6 linked regions of the Ovis aries genome follow. The protein of the gene in region 1 interacts with the protein of each later gene in a pairwise test. Links are inferred from orthologs where the notes say so. Each region holds a gene or a part of one and is shown in the gene's direction. Other genes may lie near its edges.

Region 1 (4,260 bases):
TTGCCTGGAAAATCCCAGGGACAAAGGAGCCTGGAGGGCTGCCGTCTATGGGGTCGCACAGAGTCGGACAAAACTGACGCGACTTAGCAGCAGCAGCAGCAGCAGTGCCCTCTAGAAACCTGTCCTGGGGGTGGCAGGAGACCTCACTGTTTACATATCTTCCTAGGTGGATTCTGGGCTCCATCAAGAATAAGCCAGATTTCCTTAGTGCCTAATATAGAGTCTAGTGGGGAAAAAAAAAAAAAAAGTAAATGAAGAATGAAAAAAAGACAGTCAAGACCCTCTTTTCCCCTCGTTGAATGAATATTAGAGCATTCTCATCTTTCTTATTTCCTCCCTCTACATACATTGCCTCTTGAACTCTTTGTTATTTCGGTTAAGAAGAAAGGCTATTCTGCCTCAGGCAATGTGCCAGGTCTTTGTACAGAGGAGGGGCAGATTCAGCTTGATCTGGCTGTGATAGAGACTCACAGGGACTCAGGAACTGAGTGCTCAGGGACTATGAGCACAGAGGAGGTAACTAACCCAGACAGGAGGGTTAGAGGACAGGCTTCCCAGTGGAATCAAAGTTGAGTCCAAGAAGGACAAGTGTGGATATAGTTTGATGGAAGGTATAAGCTCAGGAGTGGGGAGAAGTGAGTTTATGTCAGAGAAACATCATAGGTAAAGACCTCAGCCAGAGGGAATAGTCTTCTAGATAACTGAAAACTATTCAGACATCCTAAAGATTAGAATATGTGAGGGAACAAGGCCACAAATGAGACTGGGGAGGTAGCCAGATTTGTAAACCATTTAAGAATTAATACTTCAGTCATAACAGTATTGGGAAGTTTTTAATGAATGTTTTAAAAGGCTTAAATTCCTCCTACAGGAATGACCTGATCAGATTTACATTTTAAAAAGATAACTGTACAAATAGTAAATTGAATGGGGGCAATGGCGAACGCAGGGGAAATAGTTCAAAGTATTACAGCAGAGAAATGACGGTAGCTTGTACTATGGTGGTAAGAATAGAAATAAATAGAATAATCGGTTGAAGAATTCTTCTGACTGTGATGTAGGAGGATTGCAAAGTGACTGGGGAGGTAGTGAGTTTGGACTTTATTCTGAAGGGATAGAATATTTTAATATTTTAGTCATGGGAGTAATCCATTCAGATATGGGTTTTAAAATGGATTACTTGGCAGAAGGTGGCCAGAAGACTGTCAAAACAACGCACAGTTAAGAGCTGAGACAAGCGAAGAGGGAGCAGAGCGCGTGGGGAGGAACCGAAGACCCAAAAGAGGTATCGGAATCGCGTCCCAGGCTGTCAGAGAAGCAGAAACTGACGCAGCCCCAGAAACAGCTGCTGGGGACGGGGGAGGGGCAGGGGGGTGGCAAAGGAGCAGGGAGCACAGCCGGAGCTACCCACGCCTCCCAGCGCCGGGGGCGGGACCAGGGCACGCACGGCGGCGTGACGCAGGGCCGCAGCTGGCCTCGTTCTGGCCGCCGCCGCCGCTGCGAAGCGGAGTAGGATGAGGCCCGCGGCTGCGGCTCCGGCGTCGGCGGGGCCAGCAGTAGCAGCTGAGGCAGCAGCTGAGGGAGCCGCGACGGCTGCGCCCCCCCACTCCTGACCTGGATTAGGCCCAGCAGCTCCGTGGCCGCCGCCGCCCCGCGGGGGGGCGGGGTGGGGAAGTGCTTCGTCTCCCCGCCCCCCCCCCCCACTGCCGCCGCCTCAGGAGGCAACCGCCGCGACCCCGGGAAACCCGCGGCCCAGCCTTAAGCCCCCAGCCCCAGGGACTGGCATGAGCTGCCCTTCGGCGGCGCCGGGGGCCGGGGGAGCCGCTGCCGCCTGAACCCCGGCCTGCCGCCCGACCCCACCTCGCTGACCGAGGCTGACCGCGGAGCGTGCGAACGACCCCGCCACTGCTTTCTTCCTCCCCCAGATCACACACCCCAGCTCCAGAAGATGGGGAACTGCCTCAAGTCCCCCACTTCGGATGACATCTCCCTGCTTCACGAGTCTCAGTCCGACCGGGCCAGCTTTGGCGAGGGGACGGAGCCGGATCAGGAGCCGCCGCCGCCATATCAGGTAGGGGAGGGTGTGTGTTGGGGAAGGGGGGTGCGAGGAGTAGAGGCGGCTCTGGCGGAGATTGTGGGGGCTTCGGGGCTGTCTGTCACTGTCCCTGGCCTCGGCAACACCCGGCCTGAGAGGCACTGGACCCCCTTAGGGCTGGGTTTAAGTGTGATTGATCCCATCGTCAGTGTAGGGGGAATCCTTCACCTCCCTTCGAGCAGTGTGGGGATACTTCTGTCCTTGAGTTCTGGGATTCGAGTGTGTGACTATATCCCCTTGGCCAGTGACTGGTGGCTAGATTGTGGAGTTCGGAAGTGATATTTTCATGCCTTTATATGTGCATTGTGAGGTTCGAAGGTGATTTCCTCATCACCGGCTGGATTATGGGTTCTGGATAAGTGGTTAACCTCCCCCCACTACCCCACCCCACCACACATACATCCCATTTATACTTTAAAGTGTGATCCTCCTCTCCTCCCTCTCGTCTGTCTGTATTCATTGAATTTAGTAGGCGTTCATTTCTTCCTGTGCTTGGGAGATTTTCAAGTAGTGATTTTGGTTCCAGCAACATGGAGTTGCTTCTTTACATATATATGTATACATATTTATGTGTGTGTGTGTGTTTATACTAATTGTAGGAGTCAGCTTAGCGACTGAACAGCAACAACAGTATTAATTCTGAACCCCTCCTCTTTTTGCTCCACCCCTGTGACACACCTTTTAAACGCGCTGATTTAGAGAACTTGATTATCTTGAACTTTGGAAACCTTTAAACCTTACTTGAGAAATACCTTCTGTTACTCATGGTTTCTCCGTGTGTATCAAAGACTTGTCTTCTAAATGACTTCACTGCTTTTTGTGCAGCAGTCAGCAGCTCCAGATGTCTTTACACGATTTGTAAAGAGCTGAAGCCCTCTTTAGAAAACTCAAAATAGATAGGTAGATGTTATAATCCATAATATATATATAAACCTTTCCTCTACTATTTCAAGATGTTGATTAAAAACTTTACCAGAAGGACTTGGATAGTTAAGTGGCTTAATTTTTTTTCCTGATTGGGGTTTAATTTTCTAACTGGGCAGTCTCCTTTGTTGTTTCATGTGGTGACATCATTATCTAGTGTTATTCTTTTCTCATTCCTATGTTAATCAGTGTCTCACCACACCAGAAAAACCTGATCACAAATGCTGGTTTTCTGAATAAAACCCATCAGGGGCCTTTCATATATGCTGGTAAAGTCCAGTCTTTTCATGTGGCTTACAGAAGACTCCATGATTTATCCCTCACATTCATATTCCAGGCCTGTCAAACACAACAGCTTATTCACACCTCTCTGCCTTAGTTCCAATTGCTCTCTCTGGAACCCTTCCCCCAAGGTCAGCAGGTGAGCGTGTAATCCTCTTTGAGGACTCAGCTGAGCTGTATCTGAAGTTCCTAAATTCCCCTCCCTTTCGCCCTGAATCAATCACTCCCTTCTTTGTGTCTCCCCTGAAGGAAGTGTCTGCACTTTCAAAAGCAACGCATATAACACTTATATGTTGTCCTTGTTAAGTTAGATGTGTGTCTCATTCTTGAGGCATTTCCCTCCTTCTCCAGTATAAGCTGAATGCAGGTAGGAACTCTGTTTCCTGTTTGTTGTATCCTCAACATCTGGCTTCATAGTAGTTGCTCAGTAACTGGAATAAGGGAAAACTCTAAGCCCTTGAGAACAGGGACTACCCGCCAGTGCTTAGTGCAGTTTCTGGCTCATGAACACTTAAATGTTGAGTGAATTAATGAATTTAAATGGAGTATTGTTATGTAAGTTTACACACCCATTTCTTCCAAAGAATTGTCACAGGAGAAGTCTCTTTAAAAATCCAAACCAAATCTAAGTGCTTTCCTGAGTCTTTGAAGCAAGTAAATTGTTTCACTCTTACTTTCCTTCAAATTTCACTCTTGATTTCCTTCATAAATGTTTATAGGACAATGTGCTTATTTCCATTTCATGAAAAAAATTTTTTAGAGGTACGAGTTTTTATTTCAGAATCTCCTATATTCCTTAGTCCTCTTATAAGCAAGTAAAATACCTTCAACTTATTGTACTCTTTCTCTTAAATACATGTATATCTTATACATTGTTAAGAATAACTTCTTTAGAATTTATGGAGATTGTATTCAATATTTGCCTTTTCCAGGAGGATAAGATAATAAAGAGAGGGTTT
Region 2 (4,160 bases), about 170 Mb from region 1:
AAAATCTACTGTATTTCGTATGTTGATGTGTATTTTCTTTCTGGTACAGTTCCATAGGTATTTTATACTAGAAAGGGAATTCCCACACAGTGATCATATATTTTATAATCTTTTTTAAACAAATGCCATGCAATATGTAGTGTCAACAATAGAAACATTTTAAAGTATGGATCCTGCCCTACAGGCAAAAGTTACTTAATTTAGAAGGTACAAATTCAGGACAACCAGAATGAGTAACACCTTGGAGGGAAGTTAGGTAGAGAAGGATAAATAATACAAGATGTGTTACCTTGCTGGTTCCTCCTTGAAAATAGGTTGGTTGCCAGATACATGCACTTAGTCTTATCCTTCTCCAGACACATTGTTTAGAGAAACCATGCCACAAAAGAGAGAGAGACTGGAACTATGTCTTGGAAGTGTTACTAAATCAAACTTGGGTCTGCAACAAAGCCAATCTACTGACATGCGGTTGTGTTAAGATAAAGTACAGCATTTATTGCAGGGCACCAAATAAAGAGAACAGGCAGCTTGTGCTTGAACAGACAGCATTACCAAGTCCGAGCTGGTTCTACTCACTGACCAATAAGATGGCAAACTAATGTCTCAAAATAACCATCCTATCTGGGTCTGGATGCCAGGTTCTTTTACAGAATGAGTGGGGTGGAGGGGGTGGGGTGAGGAAGAGAAGTAAAAAGCCCCTTCTTCTTGCAAGTATCTCCTAGAATGGCAAGTCTGGGGAAGGTATGTGTCAATTTCTTCCTTCCTGTAGCCATCCACAGGTGAGCAGGGTCCTGAACAAAGGTCCTGATTTAACAGTCAGGCAGAGGGGCAAGGTTCCCTGAGGCAGGCCATCATGTATAAACAGTACAGAAGGGTACTACAGAAAGGTAGGCTGAGGAGTACAGAGGGAAGAATTTTCAAGTTACCGCTCGGGTCTCAGTTTGTTTTGAGGTTTCCCTTTTTCTGCCCAGAGTCCAATCTTGCGACACTGCCCGGTTTCCGCCGTCCCCGGGAGCAGAACCACGCGAGAAAATTAGAGCCACAACGACCCGAGGGGGGCGGTGGCTCACCGGTAAAAGAACCCGCCAATGCAGGAGCCGCAGGAGACAGGGGTTCCATTCCAGGTTTGGGAAGATCACCTGGAAAAGGGCATGACAACCCGCTCCATTATTCTTGCCTCAAGAATCCCAAGGACAGAGGAATCTTTCGGGCCATAGACGATAGTGACGCAGAGTCCAAAAGGACTGGACCGACTTAGCAAGCAAGCACACACGCCTAGCAAGGGGAGGGGCGGGCTCTCTCCCGGCCGGGGGGGCGGGGCCAGCAGGGCAGGCAGTGCGCGCGCAGGCCCGGAAGTCCCGTCTGCGGAATGTTAGCTGTCTGTATCCTTTGTCGGTTTTGTATGGTGGGAGGGGCTGTTTTGGCGGGCAGTCGTGACGCCACTAGCCCTTGCGGGATTCTAAGGCGCCGCCGCTAAGATTAGGCTTTCTGGCTGACTTTAGAGAGGACAAGGGGTGGGCTCAGAATCCGAGTAAGGCGCGAACGCGGACCCGCAGCAGCGGTGAAACGGAAGTCCTGCTCCAACGGAGCCCGCGTCCGGGGGGAGCTGCAGTCTTCCTCGAGCGATGGCCCGAGGGCTGTGCGCCTCGGCGGCCTCCGTCTTGGCTGCCAGGAGCTAAGGGCGCGTTCTCACCTGGTAAGTGGGAGGAGGGGAACTTGGCGCGTGAGCTGGAGCCCACTTTCCGCCCTGCTGCAATGATTGTTAATGCCTGGGAGCAGCCAAGATTCATTTGTTTTCTTTCCGGATGTTTATCTTAAACATGGACAAATACACCGCCTTCCAGGGTCGTACTGTTTACCTGACCTGTAGAACACCATTTTTACTTCTAGACATTTGATGCTTTCAGTCTCTGAATTATGGCAGACTACTGGGCATAATATTTAAAACGCAAAACTGTTACTTTGCTTTTTTCTTATTCGGACCGGAAACAAGATTCTTTCTCTTTCAGGTATTGATGTTGAATATGCCTTATTAGCATATTAAAATGGCTGTACGCAAAGACTCCATCCCTTCCTTGTTAGAATGTCAATGCCAAATCTGTGTGGAAATCCTCTTTGAGCCTGTGACACTGCCTTGTAACCACACGCTCTGTAAACCATGTTTCGAATCGACTGTCGAAAAGGCAAGTTTGTGCTGTCCCTTCTGTCGCCGCCGGGTCTCTTCGTGGGCTCGGTACCGTACCCGAACAAATTCTCTTGTTAATATGGAACTGTGGGAGACAATTCAAAAACACTATCCAAAGGAATGCAAGCTAAGAGCCTCTGGGCAAGAATCAAAGGAAATTGGTGAGTAAAACCCAGCGCGTTTGTTGTCTAAAAACCAAGGTCATTTTGAAAGCCAACGGCCACTAATCCATTTTTTAAAGGATGAAACAGAGAGCCAGTTAGTATTTGTCTAAAATTTTCAGAGGTATTTGGGGTTTTTTGGCCTCAAAATGTTGATTAAGGTCAATGGCAAGATTTTGTTCATTGCCCAGCCTGTGTTCACTTGGTGTTTGTTCGATTAAAAATGAAAAGAAAAACCCAAAACAAAAGAATTGCCCGATAGTCTTCAGTCGGTGTGAAAAGTTATATAAATAGTCTCAGAGGAGCCACAATCGCAGTATAGCAACAGCAGAAGTAAGGATTCTTGTGTTAATGTCTTTTTCACTTTCAATTATTTTCTCTAACTTGCTTGCCTATATATTGCCATTCATTTAATTCTTAAGCTTGCAGGGAGCCTAAAACAGCTTTCTGTGGCTATCTAGTTCAGCCGTTTTTATTCAAAGGTCCTCCACAGTGTGGACTCTTCTTTATGCCCCAAACTGAACACTTTATGTGCTCAATAAGTCATGCGATGTTTTTTGTTTAGGCTTTGAATGCAATGCTTAATACTTACCTTTTTTTGAAATTCTTTTTACTTATTGTCAGTTCAGTTCAGTTCAGTTCAGTCCCTCAGTCATGTCTGACTCTTTGTGACTCCAGGGCCTGCAGCACAACCAGGCTTCCCTGTCCCATCATCAATTCCTGAAGCTTGCTCAAATTCATGTCCGTTGAGCTGGTGATGCCATCCAACCATCTCATCCTCTGTTGATCCCCTTCTCCTCCTGTCCTCAATCTTGCCCAGCATCAGGGTCTTTTCCAGTTAGTCAGTTCTTCCCACCAGGTGGCCAAAGTATTGGAGTTTCAGCTTCAGCATCAGTCCTTCCAGTGAATATCCAGGACTGATTTCCGTTAGGATGTACAGGTTCAATCTCCTTGCAGTCCAAGGGACTCTCAAGAGCCTTCTCCAGCACTACAGTTCAAAAACATCAATTCTTTGGCACTCAGCTTTCTTTATAGTCCAACTTTCACTTCCATACCTGACTACTGAAAAACCATAGCTTTGACTCTACAGACCTTTATTGGCAAAGTAATGTCTATGCTTTTTAATATGCTATCCAACTTGGTCTTAGCTTTTCTTAGTTTGCCATTTTTATCATTTTTAAGTGGACGCAGTAGTGTTAATTACATTCACAGTGTTTTGCAACCATCACCACTATGTTTCCAAAACTTTTTCATCACTTAGCAGCAGACAGACTCTAACCATTAAGCTATGACTCCCACTCTTCCCCACCCCCTTTCCAGAGTTCTCTGTGAATTTGCTTGTTTTTTTAATTTCTGTGAAGCCCCAGTAAAACACACACACCATCTGTTTAGCAGAATTAAACATCATAGACATCATTTACCACAGAATTAGCTCATAAAATGTTCCCATAAACCCCAAAAGATACCAGGACAAATCACCAAAATCAGATCTCCGTGGTATAAGCAAGAAGGAAGCATCTGGGCTGTTTGATGGATCTGAGAACAAAAGAACTTCAGAATAAGCAATAGGTATTCATTGGGAAGGGCTTCCCAGGTGCCTGGGCAGTAAAGAATCCACCTGCTGGATACAGGATGCTTGGGGCTGGTGCACTGGGATGACCCAGAGGGATGATATGGGGAGGGAGATGGGAGGGGGATTCAGGATGGGGAACATGTGTACACCCGTGGTGGATTCATGTTGATGTATGGCAAAACCAATACAATATTATAAAGTAATTAGCCTCCAATTAAAATAAATAAATTTAAAGTTAAAA
Region 3 (4,300 bases), on another chromosome or scaffold:
AATGTAAGCTTCTCAGCATAGGTACTTTTTTTTTCCCTCAATAGTCTGCTATCCTCAGCAGAGCATACTTTAGGTGTGGTAGGGGAGGGAAAATAATTTTCTCTCTGCTTTTCTGAGTTGGTTGAAATCCTTATAAAATAAGAGTGACAAGAGAAAAACAGAAATGTATTAACGTATCCATCACATGTACACAGGAGCTAACCAGGGAAAAGGCTTAGAATGCCAACCTAAATACCATTTTCCGGTAAAGACAAAAGAGGAAAGATGTTGTGGGGGTGCGAGGGGAGGGTGGAGACCACTTATGGAGGTGACTAGGGGAAGAAAAACAAGCTTAAAAGTCTGTTACACAGTTTAAGCCAGTGTCTTCTCCATTGATGAGTCTCTAGTGATGTATTAAGAGTGTAGCAGAGGACACCTCTGCTAGGTACAGAGTGGGAGACACTTTTATAAATGTACGATTCCCTTACGGAAGGTTAACCTCTAGTTGGTTTTCAGGGCTTCTCTGTGTCTCTTTCTCAGAATAATCCTTATGCCAATGAAGCATATTTTGGGGTGGCATATTCTACTACCCTCCAGCATTTAGGAGTAATCTGAGGAAGAACCAATCTCCATTTTATAAATAATGAGCAAAAACTGAGACATTAGGGAACCTGTCTGAGATCACTGAGGCAGCATTTAGCAAACCTGGGATTCCAATCCAGATCTCCCTCCCAGACACCGTATTGCATTTTCTCTTTTTTCTTTCCCTGTTTTGTTTTTTTTTTTCCCCCAGTCGTGGTTGCTCTTTGTGCCATAGATGGCATCCAGAATACAGAGGCAGCTGCTGTCTCCAACATTCCTGAAATGGGAATCACGGAGAAATGGATTCCATTTATGACTCGACCACCGATAGCGAGACACTGGCTAACTTTTTAACTCCTGGAACTCAGTTACCCTCAGCTGTAAAACTGGTTTCTATATCAACCACTTTCGTTAAGGTCCTTTAACTCAAGAACTTTAAAAATCCTAAGATCCGGGTGAAGCGGTGGGATTCATGAGTTTCTCAGGCAGCCTCATGTCCTGCGGCCTGGAACCATCTACGGGCCCAAACATTGCTCTCCGAGAGCCTAGGCAGCTGCCGCCTCCCATTCCAAGCTAAGAATGGGAGGAGCTGTGTCATACGGGCAGCGTCGTCCTCCGCCTACTCCTAGAAAAAGACAAGGAAACACCGGCTTCTCCGCCGGCTCCCGAACGCTCCAGATCAGCGCCCCGGGATCAGCGTCGAAGCCGTCTCCTTCCCCTCGCCTTTAGGCTTTGCGCCTGCAGGAATCCACGCCATCTCCACCAATAGCCGATTCCTACGGAAACCCGCGTCCTCTCGGCTAGCGCCGAAGCCCCGGAAGTGACGTGCGCGCGTGCGTGCGTGGCGTGCGTTCGCGGCGCCGGGGGCGGGGCTGCGAGAGGGAGGGCCGGCGTGAGGGCGGGTTGTGGACGAATACCGGCCACCTCGTCTAGCGACGCGCGGAGAGCGGCTGACCTGACGTCGGTGGAGCCGCAGGCGAGGTACGGGGCAGACGGGTTGGGGGCGAGGGCGGCGCGGTTCTTGGCGAGGGCGGGTGCTGGGTCATTGGTCTGGGCTGTCCACCTGGCTGGGGCCATCTCGCTCCGGTGTCTCTTGCCGTCCTCCGTCTCAGCCCCGGGGCCGGCGGCGCGGCCCTGGGCGGTCCCAGTAGTCGTCGGCCCCCTTCATCCTCTGCTTTGCTCGGACTGCCCGTTTCGGGCGCTCGTCGCCAAGTTCTCTGCGGCCCGGCCCAACTCCGACGGGCAGACGCGCGTCTGGCTCCTGGCCGCCTTCTGCCACCGTCCACCCCTCGCGGGATGGCTGCCCTCCGGCCGGCTCCCTCCTCACTGTCCAGTTGCCGGAGTACCGAGGGACACCTGTGGTGGTTCCCGGGTGGGTCGTGCCCTGGGCCCCTGGGGGACCCCGTCGCAGCCCGGCCTGTCAGGGGCGCCAGGTACTTAAGGGAGCCTCGTCGGTATTGGAGAGGGAAAGGTCCCGGAGCTGGGAGAATGCTTCCAGCGCGGGGACTGAAGACTAGTCCTAACTTTGGCCCTGTGGTTGAGGGCGAAGTTGTGGGCCTGGGTTTTTAGGAGAAGTCCCTGCTTCCAAACTGTCTGGGAGGAGATGCCCATCACGGAAGTTTAGTTGGCAGGGGGGAAGAGAGTAGGTCAGAGCCTGCTGGTGATGTCTCAGCGCCAGTGACCAAGCCCTGTGGTTGGGAAATGTGTCAGTGGGCGCCGGGCCTCGCCTAGCCGTGAGATTGATTAGGTGTCAGGAACATTTGTTAGAATGAGTTTACAGCATCACCTGGGAGGTAGTTTTTTGGATCTGGAGAGTTTTGTGTTTTGTGTGTAAAAATAGTCGTACCTTTTTTTTTTTTTTCCTGTAAATCTAGAACGGCAAAACAAACTCAAAAAAGTCTATTAAAGTTACTAATTAAAATAGTTGTACCAAGAAAGCTTTCCAGAGATGCCCGAAGATTTTGATTTAATCCATTTAATGATAACGATAATTTTAAGAGTTACTGGTTCTTAGGTGGAAGATTAAGAAGTGTTCAGGATTTGAACATTTATGGACCTCCCCAGCAATCATTTTCTTCTCTCTAGAAGTTAGCTACTTCAGGAGAGGGGGACAGCGGAGATACAGTGTGGTGAGCAGAGTGAGCTAAGAGTAGGGGCGGGGTGGGGTGGGGACCACACCCCAGGTGCCCCGAAGGACTGCGGGGTGTGGAGGGAGGTACCTGGGAATATTTCCGGAAATGTCCTGAAGAATGAGTACTATTCAGACTGACGAGGTGGGGTGAGAATTTTAGGGGTCTTGGGAATGTGGGGGTGGGGCAGCTAAAGGAGGAGAGGAGAGTAACTCCCCAGGAGGTGGTTTTTTAAAAGGGAAAAAGTGCAGAGAGAGGGACAGAGATGCTGGAGTTTCTTGGGCCTTTTCTCTGACGGTGACAGAACCAGGGAAGGATTTTGAGGCGGGTTATTTTATTTGCCTGGTTAACTTGGAATTTTTATGTCCGTCTTACAGGCAGATCAGGAACGTGCTTGATTCTGCGCTAGCTTGTATTTTGAGTGTTTGAATGGAATTGTCTGTTCATTTACTAATTGTTTGAGTGCGTCTGACCTTGCTTATCCGTACACTTCCATAAACAGGAATTCTGCTTTTATCTCTTTGCATCTCAATTCAAGTCAGGCATTCACCGAGTGTTCCTGGAGGACTTGAGACATCATGGATTTCTGATGTTGATTTTCAGTGAAAAAAAAAATAATCCGTATTTATTTAGATAGCTACAAATAGAAGAACTAAGATCTTGTTTTTATTTACTTTTGTCAGTCTTTGGCTAGAAACAGAATTTCTGTCTTGACAATGCAAGTTTTACTTTTGGCACATGTGTTTATATTGGTTGCAAAGTAGACATCTCCAGCAGAGATGACCCATGCCTAAAATATTGGAGATGTCTGTGTAACATACTTGTCTGTTCTGTGACTTAGAATAGAAATGCTATTAAGTGGCTTCTTAACCCAGCGCTGACCCTAAAAAAAAGTTTCACAACAGAGGCCAGGCATTTTGAAAGTCATATTAAATGTTCATTTTTGTCCTAAAGAATTGTGGAAACATTATATATATTGTTTGTTTGACTGAAATGCCTTGAAATAATCTAAAGTGTTGTTGAGTAAACACTTAGGAAAAACAATAATAGTTGACTCATCTTTTTCCCACGTACCATTATGCAGCTCTTATTTTATCTGTTTGTTATTTGGATAAAGCTCCTAACATGCCTTAAGAAAATGCTGTACTTTATGCTGCTGCTTTCAAGTTACCCCATGAGATTCCTGTTGTTGCTAAAGTTACTGTTGGTGGGATAGGAAGCGTAATTTTTATTATGTAGTAAAACATTTTTTTTCATCTCTGGTAGCATGGCTCACTTGTTTACGGTCACTAGGTGGGTGAAGGACTATAATTATGCTCAGTTCATTAGATACATTTATAGTTAGAAGTTATGATCAGAATGCTAAGTGTGAGTGCATGATAGAATAAAATTTTACCCACTAAGAGTGTCTTAAGCTTTTTGTTTTCTTCAAATGACGGCAATGAGATTTCTGAAATCCCTGAAGCAAGAATGTAGCAAGAGCATTTATGGCTCTAAATTCCATGCTGTTTCACACTGGTTGGCAGCATCCCCTGTGCTAGGCAGAGGGCAGCTCGGAAGGAGCCAGATAGAAATTTTATAAATAATTTTTGAAGCTAGCTGGTTCAGTT
Region 4 (2,551 bases), on another chromosome or scaffold:
TGCAGTTCCCCATTTCCCCTGTAGCCCTGTCCCCTCCTCTAACCCCTTCACGGTTGAGGGACACAGCGGGGCCTTTGAGGACCCTGTTGTGTGTGGCCAGCTGGCATCGTGGTTGAGTCACAGTATGGGATCTCTCAATACCCCTGTGGCTGTTAGAGCTCTGACCCGTGCCCTGTGCTGATTGCCCTGCTCTCCTTTCTTGACAGTTTCAACCGGCTGGACCTGCCGCCATACAAGAGCTACGAACAGCTGAAGGAGAAACTGCTGTACGCTGTTGAGGAGACCGAGGGCTTTGGACAGGAGTAACTGAGGCTGTCCCCCACCCCCAACCCCCAGCACATGTGTAGTCTTGAGTCCTCCTTGCCCGAGAGGCCGCTGGCCCTGTAGCCCCCGGGAGGCCCCTACGGATGGTCGTCCCGTGTAGGACCACACTGTCATCAGGCTGGTGGCAGCAGAGCCTGACCTCAAGAGGCCCTGCCCTGCCTTTTGCTCTTCCCCACTGGTGGCAGTCTGGAATAAAGCCCCCATGTCGCCCTTGGCCCCATCAGCCATTGCAAAGTCTAGAGGGCTGACCTTCTCTGGAAAACTCATCCTTCTCCCTTGAGACCAACCCTAGGTTTGTGTGAATGTGCAAGGGAGGGTGCCCTGTGCTGAAGCCCTGGGCCTCACAGGCTGGTTAGGTGAGAGGGAGACTGGCCATTTGGGGTAGCTGTTCTGGGCTGAGGAAGCCCAGGGTCTTTGTCAGTAAAAGAGGTTCTATTTTGTATAGAACTTTTCCAGTGATCTATATAAATGAAGGTCTGAGGGAGGGGAGCTCTGGACCAAGGTCAGCTCTTGTTCCTGGCTAGCCAGCTCCAGCCAAGGAGGCTGAGCAGCACGGCCGTGCTCCACTCAGTGCTGGCCAGTGTGTCCCCGCCAGCAGGCAGAGGGTCGTTACCAGCTGCTGGGATGTCAGGGGATGGAAACGCCCTCAGATTTTCCTCTCCCTTTTACATAAACTTGAAGTATTCTGTGCATAGGGCCGCTTTGTGTTCTGTGGTTGGTAAGCTGCTGTCACTTCCTGTCAAGGAGCTGGTGCGCCAGGCATGGCTGGGACCCAGAGGCACACAGCACCGTTGGTCCAGGAATTTCCCAAACGGCTGCTCCTCTTAGGAGCCTGCTTCACAGTTCTGTGAGCTCGGGCAGGCCTGACCCAGTGGCTCAGCTTCCCAGCAGCCTTATCCCCGAGCCTTTGACAGAGAAGGGGGGAAGGGGATTATTGTCCTGAGTGTCACCCCAACCTCGCTGCCTCCAAGAGAGGAGAACTCCCTTTGCTAGATGGAGTGATGGGGTGCGTGGGGCTGACCTGCTAAGACCCTGGACCTCCAGGCGGCTCGTGCATCCGGATGGAAAATGAAGAGCGTTCCTGCTACTGTAGAGTGTGTTCACTCTGCCTCGAAGTGTGGCTTTACCTGCACAAAAGAGACGATGCTCTTGGAAACCAGCAGAAGGGCCCTGAGCTGCTCTGCAGTCTGACTTGATTGCTGGAGCTCCTGCCGACCTCTGCCGTGGGCGTCCTGCCACGTGTTCAGATCTTTCAGGCGAACACACTCCTCTGGGATGCTGGAGTGGTGATTGTCGCTGGGTCCCCGTGCAGGTCCTCAGGCTACCCACGGCGTTGTCTGAGGACAGGCTCGTGCTCCCAGGTCCTCGTCCTCCCCTCTCCACCCTGGCCCGTGTCTGCTCTGTTGTGTGTACTGATGTGAGCGGCTCAGCTCACTGCAGCCCAACCTCCTCCTTCCCTCGGATCGTTGGCTGTGCTTCCCTGCGGTGTCTCACCGTGTTGGGGATTGGGGCACAAGCCACCATGCCATGCAGGGTTTGGGAGCCTCAGGTTCATGGGCGTGCAGAGTGCGTTCACGTGGGTGTGTGTGTACATACGTGTATATAACTGAGGTGTCTGTACGGAATGCCCTTTGGTAGCTCTGAGCTGGTCACCAGATTGTTTTGTAATGCCCACCCCCTTGCCCTTGGTATTGCCAGTTTCTTGTGCAATAAACAATCAGCAGCTGTGGGCAGTGTTGGCGTGGATGTGTCCAAAGTCACTGTCCTCCAGGCAAAAGGTCTCTGGGCCCCACGGACCTTCCAGGTCTACACGAATGGAAATGTTATGACCTTGCTGGTTTTGAGAAGTGTGTGTCATTAACCGAGGCAGCCACACTTCTGATGGGTGGCCCAGTCTTCATCTAAGGATCATGGGCTTCAGCCCTCATTTATTTGCCTCACGGCTACCTTTGGCCTGGGTTTCTCTGAGCAGTTGCCATGGCACCAGTGCATCAACAGCCCGAGGCTGCAAGTTGAACAGGTTTTAGGAACCAGCTCCTGGGTAGCCATTCATCTGAGAAACGTTTCCTGTTTTCTTGAATTCCGTGATGATAGAGGGATACCCTGGACTTGAGCTCATGGTCAGCCAGGGGCTTGCCGCCCACTTTTTTGAACTTAAAGGTTCTGATGGGATCCATCAGCGCAGTCTCGATGCCTTTGACATGGAAGTGATTTTGTCCTGGATCAA
Region 5 (4,274 bases), on another chromosome or scaffold:
GGTTACTAAAGTATTTGTGTCCTAATGCTTCAAATGCTATTAAATGCTGGCAGAAAACTAGGGGGGAAAGTACATTTTTGCATGGTATAAACCAGAATTAGAAATTTATACATAAATTTGAAGTTATTTGTTCTATTATTCAAGTGCTAGATCTTTATTGCTTCTACTTAATCTGTAATTAAGTTAGATAAATATGTTAATAGCTGCCACTACTATTGTATGCCTGTCAATTTCTACCTATAACTTCCCACCAAAATAACTTCTCATTTTTTAAAATTGTAAAGGCAGAGCATACCTATAAAAGCTGTCAGAAAATTAATACATTTATTTTAAAAAAGGGACAATTATTCATAATTTCAGTACCAAGTAATAACCACCATTAACATACTGGTGTATAGTGTTTCAGGGTTCTTTTTACACATTCACCATCTTTAAAGACAGGTTACACATACTAACTGCTTAGAAATAGTTTTAAAATAAAATATACTTGCTGTATTTTTTGGTATTGAGACATAATGATTGTATAATTTCTAACTGTACAGAAATATAAAAATAAAGCTGACAGTGAAAATACTATGTACTTTCCCTATTTCATGTACACTTTGTATCATACAAATAACCACCTATATTTTAAACAGTGCATATTTGTATGGTAATGTAATATATCTGACCAATCTGTGTAAAGATATACTGATTATCTTTTAAAATAATTTTTTGAATACTGTAGTGCATGTACATTTTTTACATATGTATTTTTGCATCCTTATCCAATTATTTTCATAGGTGAGGTCTCTGAGGCACTTCCAAATAAAGGTGGAAATATTTAAAATATTGATATATATGTTAAAATTGCCTTATAACAACCTACACTTCAAAATTAACATTGGAGGACATTTTCTCAGTTCTCTCTCTCCTGAAGATAAGGCTTATTATTATTTTTCATCTTTTCCAATATAAGACAGAAGAAGAATCTCATTGTTTTAATTTGAATTTCTTTGGTTGCCAGTGAGCTTAATCATTCTTTCATATGCCCATTGGCCATTTGCATTTCTTTTGTAAAATGCAGGTTCCTGCCCAGTCCTCTTCCCTTCTAAGGGTGGTGTTCACCTTTCCCTTTTTGCTTTGTTAGTGCTCTTTATTATTAATTGGGGTCGGTTCGATTCAGGCTTTCACCTGTTCACTTTACTGCCTAATGGAATATATATATGTATATATATTTTTTTCTATTAGCTTTTAATGTCCTTTATAGAAGCTTCCTCTCTTTCTTTCCCTCTCTTTTCGCTTGTCTGCTGTTGTCCTTTCGTTTCTTTCTATCTGTTTATCTCTCTGATTTTCTTTTTTGACTACATAAGTTTTTAATTTTGACCAAGTTGCATCTATGATTCTGGGCCTGGCGCCGCCTCAGTAGGGGGAGCAGCGGGGAGGAGAGCGCGGAGCTGGGGGAGGGGAAGGGGCGGGGAGGAGCGGGCGGAGCAGTTGCAGAAGCTGCTGGGAGAGCGCGCGGTGGGATCACACGGCGGCCCGGCGGCGGCGGCGGTGGCGGCGGCGGCGGCGGCGGCGGCGGCGACGGCGGCGGCGGCGGCGGCGGCCCAGAGACCGGAGCGCCGATACCGCGGCCCGCGGCCTACACGGAGCCTTCTTTTCACCGGAGGACCAGTGATCCGCAGTCTTCAACACAGAGGTACTGTGCTCCGCGCTCCCCGCCCGGTCCGGCCCAACCTGCTGTGGCAGTGCCTCCTTCTTTCCTCTCTCTCGCCTGCCGGCGCCTTCCCTGACTGCCTGCGTCACCGCGGCCGCCATGGCTGAGAATGGCGAGAGCAGCGGCCCCCCGCGCCCCTCCCGCGGCTCTGCTGCGGCCCAAGGCCCAGCCTCTACCCAGGCCGAGCCCAAAATCATCAAAGTCACTGTGAAGACCCCCAAAGAGAAAGAGGAGTTCGCAGTGCCCGAGAACAGCTCAGTCCAGCAGTTTAAGGAAGCGATTTCGAAACGCTTCAAATCCCAAACGGATCAGTTAGTGCTGATTTTTGCCGGAAAAATCTTAAAAGATCAGGATACCTTGATCCAACATGGCATCCATGATGGACTGACTGTTCACCTTGTCATCAAAAGCCAGAACCGACCTCAGGGCCAGTCCACACAGCCTAGTAATGCCGCGGGAACTAACACTACCACCGCGTCGACTCCCAGGAGTAACTCCACACCTATTTCCACAAATAGCAACCCGTTTGGGTTGGGGAGTCTTGGAGGACTTGCAGGCCTTAGCAGCCTCGGCTTGAGCTCGACTAACTTCTCTGAGCTCCAGAACCAAATGCAGCAGCAGCTCTTGTCCAGCCCTGAGATGATGATCCAAATCATGGAAAATCCCTTTGTTCAGAGCATGCTTTCGAATCCTGATCTGATGAGGCAGCTCATTATGGCCAATCCACAGATGCAGCAATTAATTCAAAGAAACCCAGAAATCAGTCACCTGCTAAACAACCCAGATATAATGAGGCAGACCCTCGAAATTGCCAGGAATCCAGCTATGATGCAGGAAATGATGAGAAATCAAGACCTGGCTCTCAGCAATCTTGAAAGCATCCCAGGTGGCTACAATGCTTTACGGCGCATGTACACTGACATTCAAGAACCCATGCTGAATGCCGCACAAGAGCAGTTTGGGGGTAACCCATTTGCCTCGGTGGGGAGCAGTTCCTCCTCTGGGGAAGGTACACAACCTTCCCGCACAGAAAATCGTGATCCACTACCCAATCCATGGGCGCCACCACCGGCTACCCAGAGTTCTGCGACCACTAGCACAACAACTAGCAGTGGCAGTGGATCTGGCAGTAGCTCCAGCAGTGCTACCGGAAACACAGTGGCTGCAGCCAATTATGTCGCCAGTATCTTCAGCACCCCAGGAATGCAGAGCTTGCTGCAACAGATAACCGAAAACCCCCAGCTGATCCAGAATATGCTGTCTGCACCATATATGAGAAGCATGATGCAGTCTCTGAGCCAGAATCCAGATTTGGCTGCACAGATGATGCTGAATAGCCCTGTGTTTACTACAAATCCTCAGCTGCAGGAGCAGATGCGTCCACAGCTCCCTACTTTCCTACAGCAGATGCAGAATCCAGAGACGCTATCAGCCATGTCAAACCCAAGAGCAATGCAGGCTTTAATGCAGATCCAGCAGGGGCTACAGACATTAGCCACTGAAGCTCCTGGCCTCATTCCAAGCTTCACTCCAGGTGTGGGGGTGGGGGTGCTGGGAACCGCGATAGGCCCTGTAGGCCCAGTCACACCCATAGGCCCCATTGGCCCCATAGTCCCGTTTACTCCCATAGGCCCCATTGGGCCCATAGGACCCACTGGCCCAGCAGGTCCCCCTGGCTCCACTGGCACAGGCGCCCCCCCTGGGCCTACTGTGTCTAGCGCTGCACCCAGTGAAACCACGAGCCCAATATCGGAATCTGGACCCAACCAGCAGTTCATTCAGCAAATGGTGCAGGCTCTGGCTGGTGCAAATCCTCCGCAGCTGCCAAATCCAGAAGTCAGATTTCAACAACAACTGGAACAGCTCAACGCAATGGGCTTCTTAAACCGGGAAGCAAACTTGCAGGCTCTAATAGCAACAGGAGGCGACATCAATGCAGCCATTGAGAGGCTGCTGGGCTCCCAGCCATCGTAATTACATTTCTGTACCTTGAAAAAATGTATCTTATTTTTGATAATGGCTCTTAAATCTTTAAACACACACAAAATTGTGCTTTACTTTCAGTTTGATTTTTTTCAACTCTGTCTAGTTATAAATTTAATATGCATTTTAAGGTGGAGTCCTTTCCTCCCTCTTTGTTTCCTCCCTCCTTCCCTCTCTCCTTCCTTCCCTCCCTTCCTCTGTTTTGAATGGTGAGAATCAATGCTGTTTTACTCAAAGGTGTTGCATGCAAACACTTCTTTATTCTGCATTTATTGTGATTTTTGGAAACAAATCAACCTTTACAGTTGGGTGAACAAGTTTTGTCCTACAGATGTCCAATTTATTTGCATTTTAAACATTAGCCTATGATAGTAATTTAATGTAGAATGAGAATATTAAAAACAGAAACAGATTAACTGAAACTCTATAATTTGTGGTACAATATTGCTTATTGTGATTTTGGCATGTATTTTTGCTAGCAAAATGCTGTAAGATTTATACTATTTGATCTTTTTTGATATATTTGTACACAGTACAGTAAGCACAATTGGAACTGTACATCTCGATAAATTGCAGCAGAATCTCTGAGCAG
Region 6 (3,500 bases), on another chromosome or scaffold:
ATAACCATCAGTGTGTGGAACCACAAGAAGGTTCACAAGAAGCAGGGAGCCGGCTTCCTGGGGTGTGTGCGGCTGCTCTCCAATGCCGTCAGCAGATTAAAAGACACTGGCTGTAAGAGCCCAATGCTTTTCTGCCTCTTAATGCACTGAGGAAGGCTTATGAGCCATCATTTTGTTTATTATTATTTTTGAATACTGAATACAGAATTCCCGCCCTCCTCCCTAGTTACCATTCCCCAGGTTAAGTTTTGAATTGTTTGTTTGCAGACCAGCGTTTGGATCTGTGCAAACTAAACCCCTCAGATACTGATGCAGTTCGTGGCCAAATAGTGGGTAAGAACTTTCTCATCTCTAAAGAGATAACTTTTACAGAACTTAACATCCAGCTCTTCATCACTGAGAAAACACACAAAGCCACTGACCCATGGTGACATACGCGAAGGACAAGCCGCATTTGGGGGCCATCTCTCCAGTACTAGAAACTTTCATCTTGTGTGGTTTTTGTTACTTTATCCGATTCCCTTCATTTAGTCGTTCTAGGTGGAGTTAAAGTGACTAAGGTACACAAAGATGTAGGGTTGTAATTTTTGATGTAATTTTAGTCCTCACATTTGTCCCGCTACCCAAGCGCAGATGGTAAACGTGGTGGCCGCGCATGCACGAGCTGAGACAGCTCCACAGGAAGACCGGTCCACATGTAGGAGGCAGCGGGATTTCTGAAGACTTCTGTGTCCTATGATTTTACAGAAGATTGACTGACTTAGAATGAAGGCGCGAAACATGCTGATGCTCCGAAATGTTGACTAGACATACTCTGCTGGAAGTTAATTTGCTGGTTAAGCAGTTCATCCTGTTATCCACACATTTCAGAGTAACTCAGATATTGACCCTGCATTGCAGGGAATCAAAAAAAAAAAACAGAAACCACCCCATAGTATTTCAGTGGCACACAGAATGACTTGTCTTGTGTAGAACTTGTTGTTCAGTTGCTGAGTGGCGTCTGACTGCAACTTCAAGGACTACAGCACGCCAGGCTTCCTTGTCCTTCACTATCTTCCAGAGTTTGCTCAAACTCATGTCTGTTAGGTCAGTGATGCCATCCAACCATCTCATCCTCTGTTGCCCCCTCTCCTCTTGTCCTCAATCTTTCCTAGCATCAGGGTCTTTTCCAATGAGTCAGCTATGTAGATCTGACCCAGGATAAATGAACAGTGAGTATCCATCCTGCAGACTCTCCTGATGACAGAGTTCTCACTCTCTGCTTGTTTGTGATGTCTCCTTTTCTTTGTGGAGGGATGTGCAGGGCAAAACCAGTGTCTGGAAGCAACTTCATCAGTGTCTTTGTTGATTGTATTAGGGATGGAGAGTAGATACACAGATGCATGTAGACTGTGCAAAGAGTGCTCTCTGTGTCCTTATCCAGCACAAGTTGGAATCTTTAAAAAACAAAATAACTTGGAAAAAGTGAATATTGTGTTATTTTTATGAAGATCGTGGAAAACACAGCACCTCCTTCTGTTCCACGTTCACGAGGAAGGGTCCGGGTGGTGTGTGGCGTGTGGAGCCCCTGAGTGAAATGTCTCATACTTGAAAGCACAGGCATGTGTAACGTGAGTGCGGAGACAGACGCCTCCCTTTAAGAATCATCTCGTATATGAATGATGCATTTCTAGTGGCTCACTGTATTGCAGCCGTGTAGAGTATCCCTGGATTTTAATGCGAGTGTCCTTTCCTTTCAGTCAGCCTACAGACACGAGACAGGACCGGCACCGGCGGCTCTGTGGTGGACTGCAGGGGCCTGCTGGAGAGTGACGGGTGCGTGCCCCGGCCGCCGGCGCTCGCGCTGCCGGAGGGCGCCCCTCACACCTTGTCACTGCCTTGAGTGCCTGAGGTGCAGGGAGGGACTTCGGGGTGCAGCTGCGACCCAGTTGCCTTGTCTGTAAAGGAAGCTGTCAAGACGAGTAGGCTTGTGCCCCAAAGACTCAGGGTCCAGTTTACAGAGGTTCCCACTGGCCTGAGAGCATTGGCCAAGAATGATAACTGCAGCACATCACACCAATCCGTGGAGTTCATGGCGATACAGAAAGAAATGTTATAAAAACCAAACCCCCAAAGCTGTCAGGAGCTCTCGTTGGTCACTACCATGATTTTCCGATCCCCGATGAATTAACTCTTAATGCCGTTAATAGTTGTGGACACCATCAGGAAAGAACCTGGCGTGAACACAGGTCTTGGGGGCCCCAGGGGTGGGAATGGGCTGCCCAGCCCCAGGGGACTATAGCAAACCCCATCCAAAAGTGGGGCTCCCTGTAGACTGGAGCAGACCTAAGCCAGTGTCCTCGGCAAATACGCTGCAAGGAGAAGAAGGGAATAAAAAGGAAGGAAGAGAACCTGCAAATTTAATAAACAGGATTTAAGAGACCCACCTACTAGATGCAGTGTGTGGATCTATTTGGACCCTGATTAATGAGATAGTGGACTGTTGAGATTTGAATATAGACTGGCATTATGACGACCCATTTTTGGGATCATGCTAATGGTAAAAGGCCTGTCTTTCAGAGCTATGTGCCGAAATAGCTAAGGATGAGATGGTAAAATGTGGGGATTGTTTTCCGAATAATCCAGTGGAGGGGGAGGAGCTGGACATGCGGCCACGGGGTGGTATCGGAGGTGGTGAAGACTGCAGGGCGCTCACTGAGCTAGTCCCTCTCTGTGTTTCTCTGAAATTTTCCAGTGTAAAATGTTTTTCAAAAGTACTTGCTTAAAAGGGAAAATAGCCTATTAAGGTAAATTGTCTTCACAGTTGTTCAGGGGATGAGGATTTATGTTAAAAGTCACTTTTAAAGTCATTGTAATATTTGATGTAACCAGGAGTTCTATTATAAAATGACAAGGCAAATGTAATGTTTGAATTTGATTCCAAGTCAAGAAAGTTGAAATCTCCTTTTCTGAACTTCTTACATTCAAGGTTGGTGTTTTCCAACCATTCAGCTATCCCCAAGTTTGAAATCCTACCTTGGCCTCAGTGGCATTTAACACATGGCTTCCTTAGGCCACTGATTCTTCGTGAACAAGTTCGGCTTCCCAGTGAAAAAGGACAGGATGAATTTTATGAAGCTAAGCCCGGGGGACATTCTGTATTGTCTAAGAGAAGCAGAATAAACAGGCGTGAGAGTGTGGCGGGAACTGGGGGCGCGTCCCCGGCTTCGGCGGGTGTGGTCACGTGGGCTGTGCTCTCCCCCTTCCAGAACCGTGTATGAAGACTCCGGGCCTGGAAGGCCCCTCAGCTGCTTCATGGAGGAGCCAGCCCCGTACACGGATGGCCCCGGGGCTGCGGCCGGCGGGGGCAACTGCAGGTTTGTGGAATCCCCGAGTCAAGACCAAAGACTTCAGGCCCAGCGACTGCGAAACCCTGAGGTGCGAGGGTCGCTCCAGACGCCACAGAACCGGCCTCACGGCCACCAGTCGCCGGAGCTGCCCGAAGGCTACGGTGAGGGTGC

Evidence for each region.
Region 2: the proteins of RNF11 (region 1) and RNF168 interact in binary tests that used the Homo sapiens proteins (3 or more experiments, as listed by UniProt). The link is inferred for Ovis aries from reciprocal best matches to the Homo sapiens genes RNF11 and RNF168.
Region 3: the proteins of RNF11 (region 1) and RABGEF1 interact in binary tests that used the Homo sapiens proteins (3 or more experiments, as listed by UniProt). The link is inferred for Ovis aries from reciprocal best matches to the Homo sapiens genes RNF11 and RABGEF1.
Region 4: the proteins of RNF11 (region 1) and WWP2 interact in binary tests that used the Homo sapiens proteins (3 or more experiments, as listed by UniProt). The link is inferred for Ovis aries from reciprocal best matches to the Homo sapiens genes RNF11 and WWP2.
Region 5: the proteins of RNF11 (region 1) and UBQLN2 interact in binary tests that used the Homo sapiens proteins (3 or more experiments, as listed by UniProt). The link is inferred for Ovis aries from reciprocal best matches to the Homo sapiens genes RNF11 and UBQLN2.
Region 6: the proteins of RNF11 (region 1) and SMURF1 interact in binary tests that used the Homo sapiens proteins (3 or more experiments, as listed by UniProt). The link is inferred for Ovis aries from reciprocal best matches to the Homo sapiens genes RNF11 and SMURF1.

The regions. Positions count from the first base shown.
Region 1 is NC_056054.1:25,684,247-25,688,506, forward strand, and holds the start of RNF11 (RING finger protein 11), read left to right. Parts: upstream 1-1,460; 5' UTR 1,461-1,948; coding exon 1,949-2,071; intron 2,072-4,260. UniProt on the Homo sapiens protein: Essential component of a ubiquitin-editing protein complex, comprising also TNFAIP3, ITCH and TAX1BP1, that ensures the transient nature of inflammatory signaling pathways. Promotes the association of TNFAIP3 to RIPK1 after TNF stimulation.
Region 2 is NC_056054.1:191,860,600-191,864,759, reverse strand, and holds the start of RNF168 (E3 ubiquitin-protein ligase RNF168), read left to right. Parts: upstream 1-1,360; 5' UTR 1,361-1,696; intron 1,697-2,009; 5' UTR 2,010-2,045; coding exon 2,046-2,346; intron 2,347-4,160. UniProt on the Homo sapiens protein: E3 ubiquitin-protein ligase required for accumulation of repair proteins to sites of DNA damage. Acts with UBE2N/UBC13 to amplify the RNF8-dependent histone ubiquitination.
Region 3 is NC_056077.1:28,693,183-28,697,482, forward strand, and holds the start of RABGEF1 (rab5 GDP/GTP exchange factor), read left to right. Parts: upstream 1-1,500; 5' UTR 1,501-1,857; coding exon 1,858-1,994; intron 1,995-4,300. UniProt on the Homo sapiens protein: Rab effector protein acting as linker between gamma-adaptin, RAB4A or RAB5A. Involved in endocytic membrane fusion and membrane trafficking of recycling endosomes. Stimulates nucleotide exchange on RAB5A. Can act as a ubiquitin ligase.
Region 4 is NC_056067.1:36,523,214-36,525,764, forward strand, and holds the end of WWP2 (NEDD4-like E3 ubiquitin-protein ligase WWP2), read left to right. Parts: intron 1-206; coding exon 207-306; 3' UTR 307-2,051; downstream 2,052-2,551. UniProt on the Homo sapiens protein: E3 ubiquitin-protein ligase which accepts ubiquitin from an E2 ubiquitin-conjugating enzyme in the form of a thioester and then directly transfers the ubiquitin to targeted substrates.
Region 5 is NC_056080.1:49,146,004-49,150,277, reverse strand, and holds the start of UBQLN2 (ubiquilin-2), read left to right. Parts: upstream 1-1,474; 5' UTR 1,475-1,798; coding exon 1,799-3,673; 3' UTR 3,674-4,274. UniProt on the Homo sapiens protein: Plays an important role in the regulation of different protein degradation mechanisms and pathways including ubiquitin-proteasome system (UPS), autophagy and the endoplasmic reticulum-associated protein degradation (ERAD) pathway.
Region 6 is NC_056077.1:37,673,586-37,677,085, forward strand, and holds part of SMURF1 (E3 ubiquitin-protein ligase SMURF1), read left to right. Parts: coding exon 1-112; intron 113-267; coding exon 268-333; intron 334-1,739; coding exon 1,740-1,815; intron 1,816-3,248; coding exon 3,249-3,496; intron 3,497-3,500. UniProt on the Homo sapiens protein: E3 ubiquitin-protein ligase that acts as a negative regulator of BMP signaling pathway. Mediates ubiquitination and degradation of SMAD1 and SMAD5, 2 receptor-regulated SMADs specific for the BMP pathway.